Oryctolagus cuniculus: one gene and its partner. The protein of the gene in region 2 binds, or shares a complex with, the protein of the main gene of each other region. Links are inferred from orthologs where the notes say so. Each region holds a gene or a part of one and is shown on either strand. Other genes may lie near its edges.

Region 1 (12,472 bases), on a different chromosome or scaffold from region 2:
AGGTTGCTCAGGCCCTCCAGGCTGGTGGGCAGGTTGCTCTGGGTGCGCTGGGTGTTGCGCAGGTGCAGCGTCTGCAGGGCTGTCATGGCCGGGAGCTGCCTGGGGGAGGGGTGGGTGACACACACAGGCGGTCAGGGGCAGGGGCGGGGCGCCCCGTGTACCCCAGGGGCGGGGGCGGGGAGGGGAGCGAGCCGGGCGCCCACCGGAGCTGCGCGTGCAGCAGCGGGTTCCCGTTGAGCACCAGCGTCTGCAGGTGCACCAGGCGGCGCATCTGCGGGGGCAGGCTCTCCAGCCGGTTCTCACTGAGGTCCAGGTACAGCAGGTCGGTGAGGTTGATGAACAGCTGGTTGGGGATGGTGTCGATGCTGTGGGCGGGGCGGGGGACGGCGCTGCCTGAGTCCTCGGGGTGGGGACACTCACGCCCAGCCCCGGCCTCAGGTCCCCGGCCCCAGCCCTCCAGCCCCGTCCCCACCCCACCCCCGCCCCCCGGCACGTGCGCGCGGCTGGCCGGGCACCTGTTGTGGCTGAGGTTGAGCACCAGCATGTTCCTGGCGTTCTCCAGCTCCCGCGGGCACTCGGTCAGCTGGTTGTGGCTCAGGTCCTAGGGAGACGGGCCAAATCCCAGGTCGGGGCGTCCCCGCCCCCACCCTGCTTCTGCCAACCTTGGCGATGAGGTAAGGCACTGAGAGCCAGGGCATGAGGGGGTCTCAGGGCCAAAGCGGCTGGGGCCTCGGGCAGAGGGGCGTTTGGGCTAGGGCTGGGACTCCAGGCGTGACCTCGGGCAAGGCCCGCTCCGGCCTCAGTCTTCCCGTCTGTAAACTGGGCTAACAGTGGGCCCAGGGGCCATCGCGATGGGTGGGGACTGGACCAAGAGGCTGGCAGGGGGCAGCTGGGCGGGCAGCCACTGACCAGGACAGAAAGGTCCTCCAACTTGAAGATGTCGTCAGGGACTCCGGAGTTCTTCAGCTGGTTGGCTCGAGCCACGATGGCCTGCGGGTAGACCACGAGAGTCCCTGCTTCCTGGCTTCCACCCCCCGCCCCGGGAAGAGGCAGAGGCAGAGGCAGAGGTGGGCCCCTTTGGGCCTGCCCTGTCTCTGCTCTACAGCCTCCCGCGGTGAGCTCCTATTCACGCTTCAAAACCCAAATGTGCCCCAGAGCCCAGCACGGAAACCCCAGATGTTTCTGATCAGACACCCCTCCTGTTCATTCAGGAAGATGGGGTGCGGTTTGGAGTGAGGGTGGCTAGGACAGATGGAGGGGGCTGGAGTGAAGAGAGGGCAACGTGGGCTGACCGGAAATGCTTCCCTCCCTAAGGTCGGGGACAGAGCGGGGACCCATGCGACCCCGGGGCCGCCCCTGCCACCTCCGCAGCGCTGTGCGGTTGCCCACGGGGTCCCCACTGGCCCTCCCAGCCACCCCATCTGCAGAAGGGACTTGTCCCAGGCCACACAGCTGGGAGTGGCAGAGCCCGGCTTGGCTCCGGGGGAGCTCCCAGGGCTGAGGCTCCAGCCGGGGCCAGGGCCACCTCCCTGAGGCTCCGAGGGCCCGGCCAGCAGTCTAACATCCAGCAGGGAAGAGCGCCCACTGGCCAAACCCCGCCCCCCCGACTCCAGCTGTTCGGCTGCCCGGCTGTGTGGCCTTGGGCGAGTGACCTGCGCCTGTGGCCATGTCCTCATCTGCGACACCGTCAGGCATGGGGGGACGTGGACGTCCACTCGGCATGCCTGGCACCCGTGGAGCTGTCCCCACCCACAGGGACCACGCCACGTCCACCCACGACAAAGGGCCCCAGAGCCCGGAGCCTGGCAGAGAAGCCGGCCGGGCCCTGCCTGGGGTCCGGCACCCGCCGCACTCACCCGCAGAGAAGGCAGGCTGGACAGCTCCCCGTGAAGCGTGGTGAGGTTGTTGTGGCTCACGGACAGGTGCTCCTGTGCCAGGGCGGGGCAGCGGAGGCTCAGTGGGGCGGGGCGGGGGTATCCACAGTCCCCACCTGCCACCCCTGCTCTGCACAGCCCCAGACGGCCAGCGCCAGCCCAGGACGCCCCCACAGCCTCCTTCCTGCTCAGACCCAGCTTCTTGCACACCTCCCAGGACGGGGCGCTCATCCCCTCCCTGTCTGCCAGATCCTCCCAAGGCCCCGCCCCTCCTCCCCACAGACCCCACCCCTCCTCACCAGCTTCTGCAGGGCGGCTAGCTCCTCGGGCAGGTAGCAGAGGCCTGTGCGGTTCAGCTTCAGCCATCGTAGGCTTGTCATGGACTTGACATTCTCAGGGAAGTAGCCACCCTGGGGTGGGGGTGGGGGTGTGCTGAGGCTGGCCTGGGAGAGGGCTCCCCCTGCCCGTGGGCACATTTGAGGGAGGCCACACAGCCAACTCTCAACAACCACAAGATCCTCCCCACAGGCCCCGCCCCCTCCAGGGGAGCCCTCCCTACTGGCCCAAGCCCCTCCCCTACCCGTGGAGGCTCCAGGGGCCAGAGCGGAGGCCTAAGAGGGTCTCTGCTACTGCCCTTGAGCCCCAGGAGGGGCCAAGCAAAATGGGGATATCCTGGCCCCCCCATTGTGTGGTGAGCTTAGCTCAAATTCCTGGGCCCCATACTCTGGGTCTGCCTGGGCTGTGGGACCCCACCCCCACCCCGTACCCTCAGCACCCTGGCCACTCCTAGCAAGGTCCCCTGCCCTGTGTCCCCCTCTCCCAACCCTGCCCGAGTGGGTGCCACCTCCTTCCTTCCCCGTGTTCCCCTCCCCAACACCCCCCCCCCAGCCCTCGTGGCCGAGTCTGGGGCAGCCGCTGCAGCCAGTGCCCAGGGGCTGTGCCCCTCCCCCCACCGGCCACATTCCCAGCTGGTGACTCAGGCCCGCCCAAGCCCAGGGGAGAAGCGTGGAGACCCCAAGTGGGGATGGCTGAGGTCGGGACGAGGAACGGAGATGGGACAGCACAGATGTGGACAACACAGGCTGGACAGGAGCCCGCCGGCCTCCGCCCCACACCCTGAGACGCCTAAGTGGACAGGCCAGAGGTTGCCCATCACCGGCCGGAAGCCCCGCCCACCTGGCTCTGGCTCTGGGCGCCCCTACCCATATTGAGAACCTCCCCCCAGCCAGAGCGTCCAGACCGCAAGTCTACACTCGCAGGGTAGACTCGAGTCCCTTCTCCGGATGAGAAAAACCCAGGCCCGGGAGAGGGGAAGTGACTTGCCCAAGACCACACAGGATGGAGCGCAGGGCGGTGATGAGCCGCCTCCGGGCCCGCCCTTGGGCAGCCAAGGCAGCGGCGGCCCTGAGTCAGCGGCCGGCTGGGCCGTGAGACCCCCGGGGCGGCGGTGCGCAGGCCCGCAGCGCCCACGCCCTCCCCCGGCCTGGGCCCGCGCCGCTCGGGCTCGGCCTTCCCGCGGGGGGACGCTGGGCGGAGGCCCGGGGTGCCGGCTGCGGGCTGCGGTGGGGAGGCCCGCAGAGCCCCGGCCGCCGCCCGCAGTGTGGCCGGAGGCGGGCGAGGTGGTGCCCGCGCCGAGCCCGGATCGCCGCTCACCTTGAAGTCGTTGCCGCTGAGGTCCACGCCGCGCACGAACGGCAGCACCCCGGTGGCCTCCATGGCGGCGCCGCTCTCGCTGCCGGGCCGGCCGGGCGCTGGGGGCGGCTCGGGAGCCGCGGGCTGGGCCAGCGCCGACTCCGCCCCGTTAACCCGCCCGCGCCCGCCGCCGCCGGCACCTCGGGCCTCGCCGGGGCCCGGGGCCTTGCGCTCTGGGGACCTCGCCGGGGCCCTGGGCCTTGCGCTCTGGGGACCTCGCCGGGGCCCGGGGCCTTGCGCTCTGGGGACCTCGCCGGGGCCCTGGGCCTTGCGCTCTGGGGACCTCGCCGGGGCCCGGGGCCTTGCGCTCTGGGGACCTCGCCGGGGCCCTGGGCCTTGCGCTCTGGGGACCTCGCCGGGGCCCGGGGGCCTTGCGCTCTGGGGGCCTCGCACTCTGCGTCCGCGCACAAGGGGTCCCCGGCGGTCTCCGTGCGGAGCCGGGGCGGCCCCACCTTCCTCACCCTACCAAGGTGGTGGCCGGCAGCGAGTGACCACGCGCGCACGTGCGGCTCGAAGCACGCAGCAGGTGCTTGGTGCGTGGCAGGTGGTTCTCATTAAGGCCCGCATGCAAACCACCCTTCCCAGGGGCGCTGCCTACGTCCCCATTGTACGGCACGGGAAACTGAGGCCCAGGCGGACAGAGGGCAGGCCCAGGGACGCACGGGGCCGGCGGCACACCCCCTACCCCGCGCGCAGACAGGTGCTAAGGCGCTCCCGCAAAGGTGACTTAGGGGTCGGCGTGCAGGCCTTTGGACCAGGTGCTACCACCCGTCTGCCCGGCCAGAGGAAGGAAACTGGGGCCCAGCCAGCTTCCTCCACGCGGGAGGCTCACATCACACACGCACACGCGCACGCATCCCCCGCGCCTCTGTGGGCTCCAAGCAGGCACCACGCAAACGTTGCGGGCCCAATAATGCAGCCCTGCGCCTTTAAATCCGGAGTGCCCCCGGAAAGCCCCGCCTCCGAGGGAGCGCGCAGGGCGGAGAAGGGGCGTGGCAGGCCCCTCATTGGCCGAACCTCGCAGTGTTTTGGAACGCCCCTGAAGAAGCCGAGCGCTCCGATTGGAGCTAGGGCCTGCTCGTCTGCCTACGCCAGCGCCTCGGCCTTCGGGGCCCGGGTCCTTCACGTTCCATCCGCAGGCGGGTTCCGGCGCCGGGTCCCGGCGGGCCCGCTGCGTGGTCCGGTCGGTGTGTGGACGCCGCGACGCAGGTACGGCTGGGAGCCCGGCGGGGCCTCCCCGACAACCCGCATCCCGGGTCCCCCAGCCCTAGGTGTGGCGCACGTCCGGGGGCGGGGCCCGGGAGGATTCCTGTGAGCCCCGAGTTCGAGTCCCGGCCCTGCCGTTCCCGGCTCGGGTGCTTGACTGGGTTTCCCAAGGCCTCCGTTGTCCTCGCCTGTGAACCGGCCCACCGAGGGACTGCCGCGCCGGCCTGGTAAGCCCGGGCCCAGCGCCGGCGGCTTGCGGGTTATTTTTAACTGCTCGGTTCCTGCGCGCCCCCCACCCCTTAGGTGGCACGGAGCCCTCGCTGGGGCAGGTGCGCGTGCGCTGGAGGGGTGGGCATTTCAAGTGCTTTACGCACTTGGCAGCGTGGAGGCCTGGGGGCCGATGGCAGCGCTGGTCCGTGGCCGGGGCCGCGGGGGTCAGCCGGCTGGCCCGTGACCTCCCCCAGGACGCCGGAGCCCCGTCTTATTTTTAGTCTGGCGCTAAGAGGCAGGTGTCCCGGGCTGAGTCACACAGAGCTTCGGGCTCCAGCTGCCCCGGGCAGTGGGGGGGCAGGGCACCCAGGGCGCAGCAGGAGGGCGGGCCGTGACCTCGCCGTCCAACGCTGAGGCTCCCGGGTGCCCTTGGCCACCCGTCCCCTGCACCCTCAGGGCCCGAGGTCAGGGTGGGCGTGGGCCTTCTCTGCCTCCACTCGGGCACTGCTCACCTCCTACCAGCTGGGCTGTGGCTCCAGGCCTGCATCTGGCTTAGCATCCTGCAGCCAACCCCCACCCCCCGACCCCGCCCCGACCTCTTGAGGAGCCGGCCACAGCCAGGAGGCCCTGCCCCCCCATCCCCTACCCTGACCTTGTGCTGAGCCGGCCACAGCCAGGGGGCCCTCTCTTTGGGGTCTTCATCTTTGGAGTTCCCTGCTCAATGCCCTTCTACATGATGGCTCCTGGCAGCCCGGACCCTCTGCCAGGGGCCTCCGTGTGAGCCCCCTTTGCCAGGGGCTGGGTTATTGGCCGGTTTGGGGAGGGGTCGTGGCTGCTCCCCCGGCTCCGTGCAGGAAGCCCTGCTAGCAGCCCCTGACTCACGAGGAATCTTCCAGAAGCTCCTCCTTGTGGACCCCAGAGCCCCTGTGCCTGCCCAGCCAGGTGCCCTCCCCGCCCCACCCCCACCCCGCAGCTACCCCGCGCCCCCGGCTCCCCTGCAGGTGGACCATGGCGGAGTTCTCCCAGAAGCGGGGGAAGCGGCGTGGCGGCGAGGGCCTGGGCGGCGCCGTGGACTTCCTCCTGGCCAACGCCCGCCTGGTGCTGGGTGTGGGCGGCGCGGCTGTGCTGGGCATTGCCACACTGGCCGTGAAGCGGGTAAGGCCGGGCTGGCGGGGGCTGGGGCTTGGTCATGGCTGCCGGCCGCCAGGTGCCCTGCTCAGCGCCGCTCTGCCCGCAGCTCATCGACAGGGCCACCGGCCCCCGGGACGAGGATGACGCCAAGGGGGACGGCTGGACGGAGCTGAGCCTGCTCAAGGCCACGCCGCACCAGCAGCCCCGGCCCCCACCTGCCGCCCTCAGCCTGCCCGAGCCACGCCGGCCCCCTGCCCCCTCCACGCCAGGTGAGCCGGAGCCTGCGCCCGGGTCCCTGCTCAGGCTGTTGGAGCTGTGTGGCCAGGGTGCTGGGATGCGGTCGGGTTCCCGCAGTGCATTGTGGGCTGCTCTGACGTGTCCCCCTTGCCTCTGCAGAGGGGCCCGCGGACGCCGGTCCCCAGCCGCCGCCTCTGCTCAGCCCCCCGGCCCCGCTGTGCCTGACCTTCCAGGAGAAGCTGCTGGCATTCGAGCAGGCCCACGTGGCCATCCCCGAGGCCCAGGTGGCCTTGGCCAAGCAGCTGGCCGGCGACATCGCCCTGGAGCTGCAGGCCTACCTGCGGAACAAGTTTCCCGAGCTGCCCTTTGGGGCCCTCGTGCCCGGCGGGCCGCTCTACGACGGGCTGCAGGCCGGGGCCGCCGACCAGGACCACGTGCGCCTCTCGGTGCCGCTGGCGCTGGAGCCGGGCCTCTGGAGCCTGGTGCCCGGCGTGGACACCGTGGCCAGGGACCCTCGCTGCTGGGCCGTGCGCAGGACTCAGCTGGAGTTCCGCCCCCGCGGCAGCAGCCCCTGGGACCGCTTCCTGGTGGGCGGCTACCTGTCCTCCCGCCTCCTGCTGGGTCTGCTGCGCAAGGCGCTCACCGCCTCCGTCAACTGGCCGGCCATCAGCGGGCTGCTCGGGTGCCTGATCCGGCCCAGCGTGGCCTCGGAGGAGCTGCTGCTGGAGGTGCGGCACGAACGCCTGGAGCTCACCGTGGCTGTGCTCCTGGCCGTCGCCGGGGCCGGCACGGGCGCCGACTGCCAGCTCCTGGCCTGGCCCCTGGAGGGGCTGGCTGGGAACCTCTGGCTGCACGACCTGTACCCCAAGGAGGCTGCCCGACTGCGGGCCCTGGATGAGCAGGACGCCGGCAGCCGGCGGCGGCTGCTGCTGCTGCTATGTGGCGTCTGCCGTGGCCACCCCGCCCTGGCCCGCCTGGGCCGGGGGCCCCTGACGCAGGTGGTCCTGCGGGCGGGGGAGCAGGACGTGGACTGGACCGAGGCGGCCCTGGGGGAGCGCTTCCTGCAGGCCCTGGAGCTGCTGCTCCAGAGCCTGGAGCAGGCCAGCCTGCCCTGCCACTTCAACCCCGCTGTGGACCTGCTGGCCGGCCTGCGGGACCAGGACATCGACGACGCGGGCTACGCCCTGTACTGCGGCCTGCAGGCACCCGAGGCGCTGCTGTAGGCCCGGGAGGGCCCCTGGCACCGCGCCCGCCTCCCGTCCCGTGGTCACGTGGGCTTTGGAGTGGATTTGTTTGTGCTTGCTTGCAGCCAGAACAGTAGAGGGTGCTCCGCTGAGCAGGCCTGGCCTGTGGCCGTCTGGATCCTTGAGCCCCAGGGGCTTGAGTCGCTGGCACCCAAATGTGCCTGGGCCTTTCAGGGCCAGCCGAGGACCTTGACCTTGGGCCCTGACCGTCATCACCAGCAAGGAGCCCTCTGCCGTCCTGGCCGGGGGCTGCCCGCTCCGCTTCCTGCTGAGTGTGATTGAGGCTTTCCTGGGCGCCCCCTGGTGGCTGAGCCGTTGAAGTGTGTGGCATTTTCTGCAGGGACGCCGCGGGCTCGGTTTTCTCGCTGAGCCCCCTGCAGCCCTGGCGCTGGCGCTGCCTGATGCACTACCCGACCCTACCTCAGGGAAAGCCCCTTCCTTCCGCCAGGGGGGTGCTGCGGGGCCCTGCTGGAGCCGGGGGGGGGCATGCCCCGCCCCCGCCGTGGGGCCCCGAACCAGCCACCCTCAGCCGAGCTGTGTGCCGTGAGTCTGAAGATGGCCGGGGTGTGGTGGGGGCTGGAGGGGGCATCTGCCCTCCCAGGACCCCTCCTGCTGCCGCCGGTAGCCTTCCTGCTGAGCAAAGCTATGCCTTGAAGAATGTGAACAATAAAAGGAGAAATTGTTGTATACGTGGTTTGCCGCGTGGGGGTGGGGCCAGGCGCTTTCCTAAGAGGCAGGAGGGTAGGATTTAGTGATTTATTGGCTTATAATTTATGTATCTGCTGGTTCACTCCCCAGATGCCTGCAACAGCTGGGGCCAGGAGGCAGGAACTCCATCCGGGTCTCGCTGTGGGTGGCAGGGACCCAAGCGTCTGGCTAAGGAAGCTGCATCGGAAGTGGAGGTGGGGCTTGAGCCTGGGACTAGGGGCCGGCTGCTGAACTGGCTGGCGTACCACTCACAGAAGCCTTAGCTCTCGCCCTCCGAGGCAGGAATAGGTTCACACGCTGCTTTGTGGCTGTCGGCTCCTGGGGGTATGGGGGGTCCCCAGTGTCTATGGGAGCACCAGGCCCAGCCCCGTGGGACCCTCTCAGGGCCCCCTCCTGTTGCTGGCACGGCAGGGGAAGGTCTGGGTCATAGGAGCGGGCGCCAGGGCCTGCTGTACCAACGTCCTGCTTCTGTCCAGAAGGGACTGTGGGGGAGGGGGAAGTGTGTGGTGGTTGGGTCACGTGGGATGGCTGTGCCTACCTCCAGTGCAGGGTGATGGGTGGATTTGGCCTTGGCCAGGAGACCGGCTTAGTTGGGAGGTCAGTTCCAATCACTTGGTTCAGCTTCGGGCAGTTTTTCTGGGGGCAAAGGGCAGCGGGGCGAGTGCAGGAGCAGTGTGGGGACAGAGCCTGTGCCCGTCTTCTCTGTCAACTGGGAACTACTACCACTTCCTGTGCGGGCGCTGGAGTGGGCACAGGGGCAGCTGCCCCACAGCCTTGGCTTCTGCCGCCTCCCTCCCGCCCGCCACCAGAGCCAGCTCCATCTTTCTTGGATTTATTTGAGAGGCAGAGTTAGAATGAGGGAGGCGGATCTTCCGTCCACTGGTTTACCCCCCAAACAGGCCACCAGTGGCCTGGCCCAGAAGCCACGTGGGCGGCCATGTTCACCTGCTGCTGCTGTCCAGGGGCATTAGCCGGAAGCCAGGTTGGAAGTGGGACCCTGCATTCATTATGGGATGCTGGCGTCGCAGGCAGTGGCTTCACCTGCTGCACCACAACGCCGGCCCCGTCACCTTGCACTCAACACAGGCGCGAGGCGGGCTGCTCAGCTGCACAATCCCGCATGCACCTGCCTGGGCATCCTAACACCCGGGTTCCCCAGGTGACCCCTGGAGCAGGCGAGCAGTTAGAAAGCGGCCACCCCCAGGTCCCTGCCCTCATACAGCTCAGGAAGTGGTCTGGGCACCCACTGGCTCACCGTGGGCCTTTGGAGGGAGCTCAGCTGCAGGCCCATCCCTCAGGTGGGGCCCTCGGGTGCCCCTGGAGCAGCCGTGCGGTTCAGCTCCCAGCTGCGCTGTCAGAAATCCAGCCTTGGGAGAGTCCGTGCGAGCAGCTTCTGCACTGGGCTGGCCCCTGGGGTGAAGGGAAAGCAAGCAGCAGGCAGGTCCTGAAGGTCTCACTCCTGCATCCTACGGGGGAGTGCCCGGGTCCAAATCCCTGCTGCGCAGCCGACTCTGGCTTCCTGCTAATGCACCCTTGAGGAGGCAGCAGGTGGTGGCTCAAATACTTGGGGGAAACCTGGATTAAACAGTTAACAAACAGCAAACGAGCCTCCAAGGAGGGAGGCTGGGTGGCAGGAAGCCGGGGCGGCTGGGTCTGGGAAGCGACGTCCACCTGCTGTCACTGGGCTGCATTTTCCACGTTGAGCCGTCCCCATCCTATCACCAGCAGCGCATGGGCGTGGCTCACCCCGAGTGCCATCTCAACGCCAGGCAGAGTGCAGACCCCAGGGCTGGCAGGGTTCCAGGCAGGGGCGGCCTGGCGGCTGCTCCACGCCTTTCCCGTTTCTGTAACAGGGGGCCTTCAGCCTGGTACCTCGTGTCTGTAATGTTCCCATTTCTCATGAGGGCACTTCCCTTCGGAATCAGAAAAAGCCATTTTTAAAAGGTAGCTCCCGGAGGAAGTGCAGGCCGCGGTAACAGGCCCCAGCGTGGAGCCAGGACGGCGCAGTCACTGGGCAGTGGCCTGGGGTCTTCCTGTGCTGTCCAGCAGCTCCCAAGACGCCATCGGCCGCAGGACTCCCAGGCTCACGAGGCTGGCTTGGGTTCCCGCGGCAGGCAAGCCGGAGGGCGTGGGGCATGTGGATCTGTGGCTCACGGGGCTGGTGGCAACACCCTGTGAGCAAGGAGACCAGGGGCCACCTCTGGGTTCTAGTCTAGCAAACCCGGATCCTGCACGACGTCGGGTGGGATCCGGGCCTGAGCTCCTGGCCACCACAGGCCCTGGGAGAAGCTGGCGAGTCCACCCGAGGGCAGTGGTCCCTGTCTAGTGTCTCGGACGGCGCTGCAGGGGACCTGACTTCCTGCAGCTGTAGCCATCGGGGACAGGGCTGGGCTGAGCCCCTCAGCCACCAGCAATGCGGGGCAGCCGCGTCCTGTCTGCTGTACATGGGAGGTGTGGCTCCGAGTCCTCGTGCTACGGGGGCTCAGCCGTGGTGTGGGGAGGGGCCGGGCATCAGACAGTTCCTCAGGAAGTTAACAGGAAGTTGCCACAGGAGCCAGCGATGCCACTGCCGGGCGCGTGCTCAACAGGAGCAGACAGAGCCGTGCACGACCGCCCACAGCGGCAGGTGCAGACCACCACTGTCCACCGAGAAGTGGGCAAACAGGCGCCACAGTGTCCCGCCTCCCCCACAGTCCCACTGCTTTGTGTAAGAGACTCAAACACCCTAGGGGCTGGCGATGCAGGCCACAGCCGCCCTCACACTCCTCTCACTGTAGTTCTGTCACGGCAACCATATCTCATTACTAGTTATCGCTGGGAACCTCCCACCGTGCCCGACCTGCGCACGTCACCAGACTGACGTATGTGGCACGGGGGCTCAGCACCGCCCATGGCTTCAGGCACCACGGAAGCTCTGGACCCACAGAGGGACCACTGCACACACGGGACTCTCAGTGACAAATACCGATCCACGCCACGATGTGGACCCTGCAAACGGCAGGCCCCGTGGAAGGTGCTAGAAACAGGTCCCGCGTACGTGGCTGCAGATACAGAAGACCCAGACCAGGTAAACCACAGACATGGATGGGAGCCTGGCGGCTGCTGGGGACCCCAAACGCACTGCCCCAACCCGCAGCTGCCAAGGTGTTTGGAGGACGCCTCCAAGAGCCTCCGTGGTGGGACGCCTGCCCTGCACCCAGCCACGTGCGTCGTCAGGGTTCGGGGCCGGGATCCTGAGACCTGCTGGCGGCTCCAGGTCTGGCCAGCGGGCGGGCGGCAGCCCCTGCTGATCATCCCCCCAGCTACAGAGCAGTCGTTTCTCACGAGGTCTGTGGCCACAGGAGGAAGATGGACGGTCAGCGCTGGAGTCTCGCCAGGCACCTTCTCTGCTCTGTGGACACGGCGAGGTGGGAGAGGCTGGGCCCAGTGCTGTGTGGCAGGAAGGGTTGGGGGTGGACAGGAGCGCCCAGCACGGCTGCGACGGCACCGTCACGCCTGCCATCGTCACTGGCCGGGGTAAAAGGGCTCGAACTCTTTATTAAGGCACGTGAACCACTGGGCGGTCCGGGCCTCCGGACTAAGCGGGACCAAGCTGCTTCTGCAGAGGCGAGGCACGACCCCTTCCCTCCTCCCGCAGCAGTTGGGGTGCCGGCTCCTCACCCCGGGGGCGCCGCTGGCTCTACGGCACAGCCGGCTGCGGCTCGGGCATGTGCCAATGCGGGGGCTCCGGGCTCTGCACCTCACCCCGGGAAGCCACGGCTGAGCCCCTGCTGGCGGAGTCGGAGCCCGCGCCCCTCCTCGCTGAGGCCAGCGCTTCCTCAGCGCCCCCGGACAGCCGCGCCGCCCGCCGTCCCCGCCCCGGCCCGCCCCGCCCTCATCTGTTCTGAGGGCAGAAAGGCCGAGTGTGTCCGGGCTGGTGGCACAGGCTGCACTTCCGGGGTTTCTTCGCCGTGGCCCCTGGCGCGTCTGAGGATCCCGCCCGGGGTCTTTTGCTTCTGGCCTCTGGCCCCTGGGCTCTCCCTCTGCCTCCTGGCCAGGGCGCGGCTCCGAAAGTGCCTGTGGGGGAAGGGAGGGGGCGGTGGAGCCTGCGACATGGAGGACGCAAGAACCAACCACAGCTGGGTCGTAGGTCACGGGCTCACGTGCAGCACACAGCCGGACTCCAACTCG
Region 2 (11,689 bases):
TTGCTATTGATTGGAGGAGAGCAGCGTACTCGGCGTGTGGGCAGCCGAGTTGGGATTGGCGGAGGAGGACTATAAAGGAGGAGAGAGACGGCATGCACCGGTAACATCTAAGGGGAACATCTAGCTGAAGGAACACCTGTGCAGCCCCCGAGAAGAGCCGGCCGGCGGTGTGCCGCTCCCCTGCGGAAGTGGGGAATGTGGCCAGGGGGAACTGCCCTTCCACGGAGGTGGAAGGGATAGTAGCCAACCCGGGAAGAACCAGCAGCAAACCCGGGGAGGGCCGAGCAGACAGAAAGAACAGCGCAGGGTCCTGTGTCGTTCCTCCACGAAGAGGGGGAGCGACACACAGGGGCTGACTGTCACCAGGAATGCCTGTATCCCGCATGGGAGTGCTGGTCTGAGTACCAGCTACTCCAGTTCTGCTCCAGCTTTCTGCTAATGGACCTGCGAAGGCAGCAGATTATGGGCCCCATACTTGGATGCCTGCCACCCTTGTGAGAGACCAGATGGAGTTCCAGATTCCTGGATTCAGCCTGGCCCAGCCCCAGCTGTTGCAGCCATTTAGGGAGTTAACCAGCAAACAGAAGATATCTGTCTCTCTGCCACTAAGCCTTTCAAATAAATATTTTTTAAAATGCCTTCCTTTCTGGGGCCGGCACCATGGCTCACTTGGTTAATCCTCCGCCTGCAGTGCCAGCATCCCATATGGGCGCCGGGTTCTAGTCCCGGTTGTTCCTCTTCCAGTCCAGCTCTCTGCTGTGGACCGGGAGGGCAGTGGAAGATGGCCCAAGTGCTTGGGCCCTGCACCCACATGGGAGACCAGGAAGAGGCTCCTGGCTTCGGATCGGTGCAGTACCGGCCGTAGCAGCCATTTGGGGAGTGGAACCAATGGAAGGAAGAACTTTCTCTCTGTCTCTCTGTCTATAACTCCACCTGTCAAATAAAAAAAAATTAAAAAAACAAATGCCTTCCTTTCTAAGAAAGACTCAGATAAACATTTATACTTAGTTCCTTCCCATCTCCACAGGTTCTCAATTTGGAGTTACCCTGAATTTTTTTCATTGGAAAAACAATCATTTCCTGAAAAGTGTACATAAATACACATATATATTGTGACTGTGCTGACATAAACCATCAGTTAAGCATGGCTGTACACCTTGTCTCTGTCCTCCTTGTCTTCAACTAGCCTGTAAGCTCTCTAAGCACCGGAAGCTGCCTTGTGTCCGCTGGCCGACCATCTGGAGTAGAGGTTGGTAACTTTTTCCTTAAAAGGCCCCATGGTGCAGATTTTGGAAGTTTTGGGCTGTGGCAACTGGTTACCTCTGCCATTCAGCACAAAAGCAGCTACAGAGAGTACTGCACATCAACATGGCCCTGTTCCAACGAGACTCAGGAACACTGAAATCTGAGGTATATGCAACGTTCTCATGTTGCCAAATACGCCCCTGTCACTCCACTTCTCCACTGACAATGTCTACATCTCTACAATGTAAACATCACCCTTAACTGGTGTGCTGTCATCTGCCCATTTCTGCTCTAGACGATTAACTCTCTTGACCTCAGTCCTGCGCACATGTTATTCTCCTGTGCTTGACTCAAGTCTAGCTGATTCTACAAATACCTTCATTGTGTGTCTCCAAACCATCCCTCCCTCTCTGTGTTCAGGGCTAGGCAGTACTTTTTTTTTATTAACAGTAGTTAGGCAAAATGTACTAGTAGTCCAACATTATGCTAACTGAAACAAGCCAAGCATAAAATGATAGTCTGATTTTGATTATGTGCTTTATGTAGAACAGGCAAATCAAGACCCAGAGTTAGAGTTCTCTAGGAACTGGGGAGAATGGGGAGTAGTGGCTTAGCAGATATGCAACCACTGCTGAGGTGGTAAGAAATGATGCAAACAGATACTAGGGATGGTTATACAACATTATGAACATGTTAATGCTACTGTACTGCGCCCTTAAAAATGGTTAAAAATACCAGTAACCAGTCTCTCTGCTGCCAACCTTGCACTTCTAATAAGTGGATCACTACTCTAAGACAGTTATATTTTTCAACAGCTATGGAAGTTCTACAAATTGACAAGAGCCTCACTGCCTCTGTGTCCATCACATGCACGCTGTCCTCCAAATGCATCTGCACTACTGCTGTCCAGCCCAAAACACCCTCTCCTTCCCACCTTCCCACACCACTCAGCGCCAACTCAAACGTCACAAGTATGGTGCTCTCCCAGTCCTGAGACAAAGATAAATGGTCTCATCAGCATCCTAAACCTTGATTAGGTGGACAGATAACTGATCACCTGTTTACCAAACTGTCCATAAACGTGTGCACTTTTGAGATATGTATATTTTATAAGCTGTATTTAAATACTTAAAATAATTATACTGTCGCCACCTAATCAGGCCTCATGTTACCTCAACCTGCCTTACCCACTGTTGCTTAGACCTACTGTGGTAATATTCATTTCCTTATATATGGCATATATGAAATAACCATTCAGTATTTTATCTGTTAAATACTCTGTTTCTGGAGTTAACTCATGTGACAGACCATCTGCGTCACAAAATGGACACAGAACCACACACACACAGATGTGTGAGTGTAACGTGAAGTCTAAGTGCCATGGATTGTTCCAATGTCCATTTTCTTGCCGTGCTGTAGTGAGGTAAGTAAGGTGAGGTGAAGGGTGCATTTTATCATTTCTACAAAATGGTCTTCCTGTTTGCTAGCTTAGTAGTCAGATAATCTGAGTTAAATGTCACTTGAACAAACAAACAAAAGGATCCAGCAATCCAGGTACCCAAATCTACAGAAAAATGTCTTACTTACAGCTCTGAAGTTTCAATATATTTTGCTGTTCCTTCAATAGTGTTACAGTATTCTGTGGCAAATTTGGTAATAAGCTGGAGTAAAGTAGCACTTTTGTCATCCACAGGCTCCCCATAGCTGTTCAGGAGAGACTGGTACTGAGCAGCTAGAACGTTTATTCTTGTTTTCAGCTCTGGCAAGCAATCTCGGATGTGATGCATCAGCAGCCTAACAAACATCAGAGAGAGGGTTTTAAAGTGTGAGTGTGTATTATGAAGCCCCAAACAAGTCTTACTGTTAAAATGCAAACATTGGGAAAAACTCGTTAAATCATTTGTCTTGGCAGGTGTAGTGTTACAAAGTATGTATTTAGCTTTTCTGAACATTTCCTGGCACTCATCTCCTAAAATCCTTGGAATCTCCAGAGCCATGAGTGTTTCTGTAAAGGCATCAGATGACTTGTGGCCGGGGCCCCCGGAGAGCTTCAGGATGGGGGCTGGTCACGAGAAAGCCCAAGGCAGGAAGGAGCAGTGGTCAGCCCCACTCTCCAAACTCTGGGGAGAGGACAGAGGCTGAGGGTTGAGCTCATTCCCACAATAGCCAATAATGTGATCAACCATGTGTGTGGATGCAGCTTCCAGAAAAACAAAAAGGACAGAGCACATGAAGCTTGTGGGCAGATGAACACACGGAGCTTTCTGAGCATGATGTGCCCAGAGAGGGCACGGAAGCTTCAGGCCCTTTCCCACAGGCCTTGCCCTGTGCATCTCTTCCGTCTGGCTGTTCGTTTGTATCTTTTCTAATATCCTTTAAAAAATGTGTAGAAATACATTTTAGGGTTTATAAAACTGCCCACATATGTTGTATGCCTTATAACTATTTATAAAGCTGACCATATGTATTATATGCCGTTGTCTAGATATATATTAATATATATAATTATAATTTTACCACCTAATCAAGCTCAATGTCCCCATCCTCAAGTCAAACTTGCTAATAAGATCACGGAAAACCCAGTTCATAGCCCATCGGTCAGATGCACAGGCCGCAGCCCGTATTTCCACTAGTGTCTCAAGTGCAGGCAGCCTTCTGGGACTGAGCACCCAGCAAAGGCATGTGATGCTGTCTCTAGGGAAGCAGAGTCAGACTGAATTAAATTAGAAGATACCCAGCTAGAATCCACCGGAGAACTGAGTATTTAGTGTACTGGGGAGAAACCCACAGATCTCATGTCAGAAGCATCCTCTGCTGTGTGAGAACAGGATGGAAACACTCTTCTAGATTTTTCCTATTTCACATGCGCAGGAAATACTGCAGTCTTAGATTAGGGTAATAAATACTTAGTCTGAAAAAAAGTGGCACAAAGGAAGCTGTTTTGGTCATTCCTTTTAAATTTGCCTTTGACCAATCAAATTATACCAAATGCTAGAGAACCAAATATATACTTTAAATAAGCAAATTATTTTCATATTATTGCATTTACCACAAAGAAAGTAAGCTATTCGATCCAAAGCTACCTATTTAATTTGGGTTTCATTGACTTAACTTCTGCCATGGGTAGCCAATATAGTGAAAATCAGTATTCCTAGGATCCAGATACCTAAGCCTTTAATTTAGGGAAAAGATTTAAGTAAAAGAAGTGACTTTCACTTCAGTCATTTGTAAATCGTCTAGAAAAATCTTCTAGTCCCTACACCTACAACTTAAATTATTTCTACTATGAATAGAAACAGAAGACATTCTAAATTTAAAAAGGATGATGTGAAAATTAGACACTTTAATTCAGTCCCTGAAATTCAGTCATATGCTATCTAGTTCTATCCTGTAATCATCAAAATAATCAGAACTCATCAAAAATGTCATAATTACAACATTTAAAATTCACTTAAGTGTTCTAGAGTACAGGACGATTTAATGTCTGCCATCCCAATAAAAATAAAAATAGAGACGTCTGATTTCCAAGAACCTATTACACAGAATCCAAAAGTGAAACCATAAGGAACCCAGGATGGAAATGCAGGGAACTGAAAATGCTTTGTAAATCTCAAGTACCTGCTGGCAAAACAAGAACATCTCATTTGCAAAAGGTAAAAAAATGTTACCTGTTCAGAGTCCTGGCAAGATACTTTGTCCCGTTTCTATTGGCCAGAGACGGGTATTTCTTTTGAAGAAAAGCATATTCATCACGGATTGAGTCAGTTACACTCTTCTTATTGTTAATGTCTAGCTGGCTCCTAGAGTTGAAAAACAACAAAACTATTCAAGTCAAGTCAACTGTTGTCCTCTCATCCTGTTTTATGATGAAAGGGATGACAGTAATGTTAACACTAGGCTTTGCTCCCTGATACATGACATGGGTTATTCTATTTAATTCTCAGAATCATTTCTCGTGATAGGTACCACCCTATTTTACAACAAGCCAGGATTCAGACCATGTGACTTACAGCAACTGGTGCATGCATAAGCCTCATTATTAACGGCAGCCAAGAGCAGTACAGGCACAAAAATGGAAATGTATCTTAATCAACTGTGTATTTCATCCATGGACAGGTAACTAATACCAAAAATAATTAATTCAAATTGAAGAGTGATCATCTATAAATGTAACCAACAGTATTATGCCAACCGCTTGCCTGAAAGGGAAGTTGGAATGGGGAGCAGACGGATGGGGAGGTGAGTAGGGATAAGGCGGAAAGATATGTGAATAAGTAGACAACAGCAATAGATCTTAGGTATTGCTTAGCAAAAAAAAAAAAAAAAAAAAAAAAAGCTTAAGACCCACAGATGTTAGGAGTCATTTAAACCCATATTACATGTCCATCTGGTTTGTACAAGGATTGGGAACAGCAGCCATGTCTCAAGATTACCTACCATGTAAAGACTTCGGGCTAAGAGCATCATCTAAATCCAGCTCTACTCTTCACTAGCCATTTTCCTTTGGCAAATATGTAACCTGAGTGTTCTGATTATAAAGTAGACAGCAACACCCACCTCACAGAGTGCTGCGAGAGTTCAAAGGGACACCATTTGGAAAATGCTCAGAGTGTCTAAAACCTAGACACTTCATAATAGTTTCCTTCTCTATAATTATTAAAACTAGCTATTTATAATAGGATACTTTTAATAAAAATTGCTCTAAATAATATCCTGGCAATTATACAAAATCCAATCTAATCCTAGTGGTAGGAGTTAAATGAATTTATTCACATCCTTCCACCTTAAATTCTGTCCTCATTGGGAACAAACTGGTAACACTTTTTTTCCTTGCCCAGTGCCCTTCTCATACATAACTGAACTTAACAGGCAACAACTCTTCAAGTCTGGCTATTAAATTGTCTTCCATTTTGTGATGCTTTGTTTAGAAAATATTTTCCATTATAAATATCTAGAGGAAGCTTTTCCCTTTAGAGCAATCAATTCTTTAGCAATGCCAACAGTATAGTAAAAGGAGGGGAAAATAAAACAATATCACATTTCTGACCCGTTTTAGAAATGTAGGCTTGCTTTGAAATGATAGTACTGCAATTCTTATTGCATTTTTGAATGCTAACCTGTTTACTACTCCAATTATTCCAAGTTTGACCGGAATAACCCTTCCCATCAATACATCCATGGCATCAGTGCCTGCATCCATGAGATCAAGTTTAGTGATTACAGCTAGGGTTCTGCGACCTGATAAATGCAAAAAAAAAAAAAAAAACCGAGAAATTAATCCATTAAATAAAGCCACTAAGTATTATTAATCACAAAAAATTCTCATCTACAATTCCACTTTAATCTGTCATCATTTTAGTAATCCTTTTATAACCTTTGCTTACAAGCACTACAATTTGAAACGTACGATATAAAAATCTGTTTGCCCATATAATTCTGTATTACCTTTTAGGACAGACTTTCTTATATGTATTTCTAGAGTGTGTTCAGAGTTTACTGTGTTGGTGTATAGTTGAGTTCTGACAAATGCAAACAGGCGTGTCACCACCACCTCAAGACAGAGCAGTTTTACTGCCCCTCAAATGTTCTTGTACTAACCAATCAAACCTGTTATCCATGCCTAACCTTTTTCTAGAATGCTCTATAATGCAATCATATAGCACACAGCCTTTGACTATGGCTGTTTTGTTCAGCATAACGCAGTTGAGAGTCACCTGTGTTGCTGTATCGGTAGTTCATTCTTTTTATTGCTGAGGAGTGCTTCATTGCATGGATGTACTGTGATTTTGGTTATTAGCTCCCCACTTGGGAGATATGTCTAGTTTCTAGAAATTATAAATACAGCTTCCATGCATATTTGCATACTAGCTTTTAAATGAACACAGGTTCTCATTTAACACAGGTAAATACCAAGAATCAGATTGTTGAACTAAAACTTCACAGAAATTGCCACACGGTTTCCTAAAGCGGCTATACCACCTGCTCCAGCAATATACAAGAGTTCTAACTGCTCACAGTATGAGGTTTTACATAGGGCATTTTTCAGTAACAAGCACCCTTCCTAAACTTCATTATCAATTCCTCAGTCCTTCGACGGCCATATTAGGTTAATTTAATTTTTTTTATTTATTTGAAAGACAGAGTTACAGAAAGAAAAGGGAAACAAGGAGAGAGCGAGCGAGCTTCCATCTGCTTGTTCACTCCCCAAGTGGCCACAACAGCCTGGAATAGGTCAAACCGCGGCCAGGAGCCTGGAACTCCATCCAGGTATCCTACATGAGTGGCAGTGAGCTGGATGAGAAGTGCCAGCATTACAGGCAGTGGCTCTGCCTGCTGCACCACAACACCGGCCCTTGGTTTAATTTTTTGATACTGTAAATAATACTATTGTTAACTATGTATTTCCAGATTGACAATTACCAGATCAGAAGTATGACCATATCTGTGGTGAAAGGGTCAGTTTAAAAGTGCTAATTCAGGGTCGGCTCTGTGGCGTGGTGGGTTAATCCAACGCCTGCGGCACCGGCATCCCATATTGGCGCCGGTTCTAGTCCCGGCTGCTCCTTTTCCAATCCAGCTCTCTGCTGTGGCCTGGGAAAGCAGTAGAAGATGGCCCAGGTCCTTGGGCCCCTGCACCCACGTGGGAGACCCAGAAGAAGCTCCTGGCTTCTGACTGGTGCAACTCCAGCCCATTGTGGCCAACTGGGGAGTGCACCAGCAGATGGTAGACCTCTCTCTCTCTGCCTCTCCTTCTTTTCTAATTCTGACTTTCAAATCTTTAAAAAAAAAAAAAAAAAAAAAAGTCAACCATCCAGGAACAAATGTTAGGGTACACCAGGTTAAGCTGCTGCTTGCGATGCTCATGTCCCCTGTCAGAATGTGTAGCATCAAGTTCTACCACCTCCTCCTCTTTTTTCTTTTTCAAGATCACTTATTATTTGAAAGGCAGTGTGTCAAAGAGAGATCTGCTGGTCACCAACAGTCAGGCTGAAGCCAGGAGCCCGAAATTCTGTTCTTGTCTTCACATGGTTGGCAGGGGCCTGAGTATTCTGGCTATCTTTTGCCTTTCTAGGTACACAGCAGAGAGCTGGATCAGAAGTGGAGCAGGCCAGGATTCAAACCGGCACTCCTAAAGGGGATGTCAGCGGAAGCTTAACCCAACTTTGCCACGGCACCAGCCCCTCTCTTCCAATGCACCTTCTTGCTAATCAGTCTGGAAGGCAGCTGATGGCTTTAGTGCTTGAGTGTTTGCCACCCAGGTGGAGACCAGGATGGAGTTCCTGGTGCCTAGTTCCAGCATGGCCCAGTCGTAGCTCTTGCAAGCATCTGAGGACTGTGCCAATGATGGAGGATCTTTCTCTTTCTCTCCTCTCTCTTGCCGCTGCTGTCTCCCAAATTAAAAAAAAAAAAAAAAAGCTTTTTAAAAAATGTCAGCATTGAAGGCTGGAGTTGAGCTAGTTGGTAAAGCTGCCACCGGCAATGCCAGCATCCCACATGGGTGCCAGTTCTGAGTCTCGGCCGCTCCATTTCCATTCCAGCTCCCTGCTATCATGCCTGGGAAAACAGTGGAAGATGGACCAAGTATTTGGGCCCCTAAAACCCCTGTGGGAGACCCAGGTGAAGCTTCTGGCTTCTGGCTTTGGATAAGTCCAATTCCAATTGTTGCAGCCATTTGGGGAGTAAACCAAATGGAAGATAAATCTCTCCTGCAAATAAATAAATATTTTTTAAAAAAAGCCATTCATAAACCTAAATCATTATATTTATACCTCTTAGGAAACTTTTTGTTTTAAAGGTATTTTATTATTTAAAGTCATTAGGGGTAGGAATCTGATCTAACAGTTAAGATGCAGCTGGGACACTTGCCGTATCTCTGCCTGGCTACCAGTCCCAGCTCTACTCCAGCTTCCTGCTAATTCACACCTGGGGATAGCTGAATTCTTACCACCCATGTGGAAGACCTGGACTGAGTTCCCAGCTCGCTGCTTCAGCCTGGCTGAGTCTCACCCAGTGCAGGCATGTGAGGAGTGAACCAGTGGATGGGACGCTCTCTCTCTGTCCACTTCTCAAATAAAAGGTAACCATTAAAGATACAGACATTATGTGAATTATTTTTGCCTAGCCTGTACAGCAACTTGACAAACTTATTTTTCATCAGAATTTCTATTTGAAATTATAAGCAAAGTAGGAAAGCATTCCTTTTTTAAACTCTGTATTAATAACTGGAAATATTCCTTTTAAAAATAGAAATTCCTTTCTTGAGATTTATCATTGTCAATCAAGCATCTAATTAAATATTAACACCTATCCTTACCGTCTGGATCTACCTCTCTTGAAATTTTCAGGGCCTCTGATGTCGCCATATCTGTATTAGCAGCAGTGACAGCGAGAATAATGGAATTGGGATTGCTGATGAAACGAAGAATGAGCTCTCGGATCTGAAGCTCAATATCCTTAGGTTGATCACCTACAGGCACCTAAACCAAACAGAGATGAGCAAGGAACTAATAATAAAATCAACTCAGCAACCCCCCCCCGTCATTAATTTACAAATTACAGGTTATTTCTCTATTTGCAAACTGTTAACATAATGAAATTAATGATACTACAGGGGTATGCATGAATTTGGTTAATGTGTGAAACAGCAAAATTTAACTATTGCAAGTATCCAAAGTTGACCAACATGATCCCATGTGAAGGACTAGTCAGTGCTAACTGCCTGAGAGACAACTCCATTCAGTTATCCCAGGTCTACTGATGGCCTACCATGCTTCGGGTCCTTTTCTACATGTCAGAGTATAATACAGCAGTGAATCTAAAACAGACCAACCGTTCTGCCTTCATAAACCTGTGTTGTAGTGATTACAAATACTCATAGTATCCAGGTGGTAGAATGGGCTATAATAAATACAACGGTAGACTCTGCAGGGATGATCTGAAACTGGGTTGTTACCTTTGAGAGAATGACAGAAAGTGAAGATGGAAAGGGAAGGGCACACGCAGGTGTCTGGGAAGGAAGTCCCAGGCGGGGTGACAGCAGGCAGGAGCATGGAGCAAGAGTCAGAAGAAGAGCATGGAGACACCAAATAGACACTTAGATTTCTGTAAGAACTCGGGCTCCTACTCTGAGTGGAATGGGAGGCTACTGGGGCGAATTTTTAGCGAGGATGGACACAGTCTAATGTTTAATACCATCACTCTGGCTGCTTAGTTAAGAACAGGCAGATAATGAGAAAGAGCTGTTATTTATTTGCTTGTTGTACCAACCAAACCAGGTGAATTGACACTGGTCTAATGAGACACAGTAGCATTCTGGGTGTCCTGTACAGGTGAGGACAGCAAAGAGGGCATGCTGACAGGAAGTGTAATGCAGAATAAAAAGCATAAGGATGACTACAAATTTTGGCTAAGCAATTGGTAGAAGGGAGTTGTCATTTATTGAGAGGGGAGAAGATTAAAAAAGGGTCAAATCTAGGAATTTGGTATCCAACTTGTCAGATCTATAACGCTTACAAGACACTTAAGTGTACAAGGGTACTTCAAAAAGTTCATGAACATGAAATTTAAAATGTTACTTTGGTGTGTAAGTTTTTCAAATCAATGTGCAGTTTTTCTTAATACACATTTTCTACAAACTTTTTGAAGCTTTTTATCTGTCAAGCAGACAGATATACAAATATCTGGAGATACTTGAATGCCATCAACATACAGAACCTTAAGTATTTTAAAGCCACAAGATCTGAAGAAATCATGTAGGGGACGGAGTCCAAAAACTGAGCTATGGGGCACTCACTGTTCAGACAATGGGGAGATGAGAAGAAATCAACAAAAGAGACTGAAAGAAGTGGCCAGTGAGCTTGGAGATAAACCGGAAGAGTATGGTATCCTGGAAGCCAAGTAGAGAGAGTGTTTCAAGGAAGGCTCAGCTCTATCAAATGCTTCTAACAGGTAAGTGTGACTGCAAAAAGAAGCTGGTTATTCTCACCCGGGGTTAGGGAAAAACCACAATGTTTCAAGCAAAAATTAACATAACCAAAATCACAATGAGTAACAATGACTCCTTACCTTGGTCATTCCGGGCAAATCCACAAGTGTCAAATTGACAACGTTGGGTGAAAAGATCTTAAGATGAATTGGTTCAGGGCTTACTCCCTAAAAGTAAAATATATATTAAAATTATATTAACAATTCAATGAAGAATGCAATACTGTAGTAAATCTCATTTCAAGCAAACATTACATCTTTTTAAAAATGTATTACATTACAATCTATAAAACGTTTTAAAAATCTAAACCTGTTGAAATACATGGGACATAAATCAGCTGGGTTATAATACTACTGAACCCCATACCAATAATAAGAACAATTTATTTCCCCTGTATTAGTTTGGTTTCTTTTCTCTTGATTCTAAGCATGTATCATTTCTTAAATATGTTTAATACAG

The links.
Region 1: the proteins of DNM1L (region 2) and MIEF2 are in contact, whole or in part, in a cryo-EM structure (PDB 5WP9), measured with the Homo sapiens proteins. The link is inferred for Oryctolagus cuniculus from reciprocal best matches to the Homo sapiens genes DNM1L and MIEF2. Residues at the interface, in NP_036192.2 of Homo sapiens: Asp190, Met191, Ala192, Thr193, Ser194, Leu197, Lys198, Ile199, Arg201, Glu202, Gly223, Thr224, Asp225, Asp228, Arg233, Val234; in NP_631901.2 of Homo sapiens: Val213, Asp214, Thr215, Val216, Arg218, Arg226, Leu230, Arg235, Val245, Gly246, Tyr248.

The regions. Positions count from the first base shown.
Region 1 is NC_091448.1:62,259,192-62,271,663, reverse strand, and holds MIEF2 (mitochondrial dynamics protein MID49), read left to right. Parts: upstream 1-4,619; 5' UTR 4,620-4,775; exon of another isoform or gene 4,776-4,999; intron 5,000-5,983; 5' UTR 5,984-5,990; coding exon 5,991-6,137; intron 6,138-6,219; coding exon 6,220-6,382; intron 6,383-6,509; coding exon 6,510-7,573; 3' UTR 7,574-8,281; downstream 8,282-12,472. Other genes in the region: FLII (protein flightless-1 homolog), read right to left, coding at 1-99, 204-365, 516-601, 910-990, 1,857-1,928, 2,174-2,284, 3,528-3,590; TOP3A (DNA topoisomerase 3-alpha), read right to left, coding at 12,177-12,358. UniProt on the Homo sapiens protein: Mitochondrial outer membrane protein involved in the regulation of mitochondrial organization.
Region 2 is NC_091440.1:128,781,261-128,792,949, reverse strand, and holds part of DNM1L (dynamin-1-like protein), read right to left. Parts: intron 11,398-11,689; coding exon 11,311-11,397; intron 11,194-11,310; exon of another isoform or gene 10,878-11,193; intron 9,723-10,877; coding exon 9,560-9,722; intron 6,484-9,559; coding exon 6,363-6,483; intron 5,046-6,362; coding exon 4,914-5,045; intron 3,040-4,913; coding exon 2,833-3,039; intron 965-2,832; exon of another isoform or gene 350-964; intron 1-349. UniProt on the Homo sapiens protein: Functions in mitochondrial and peroxisomal division.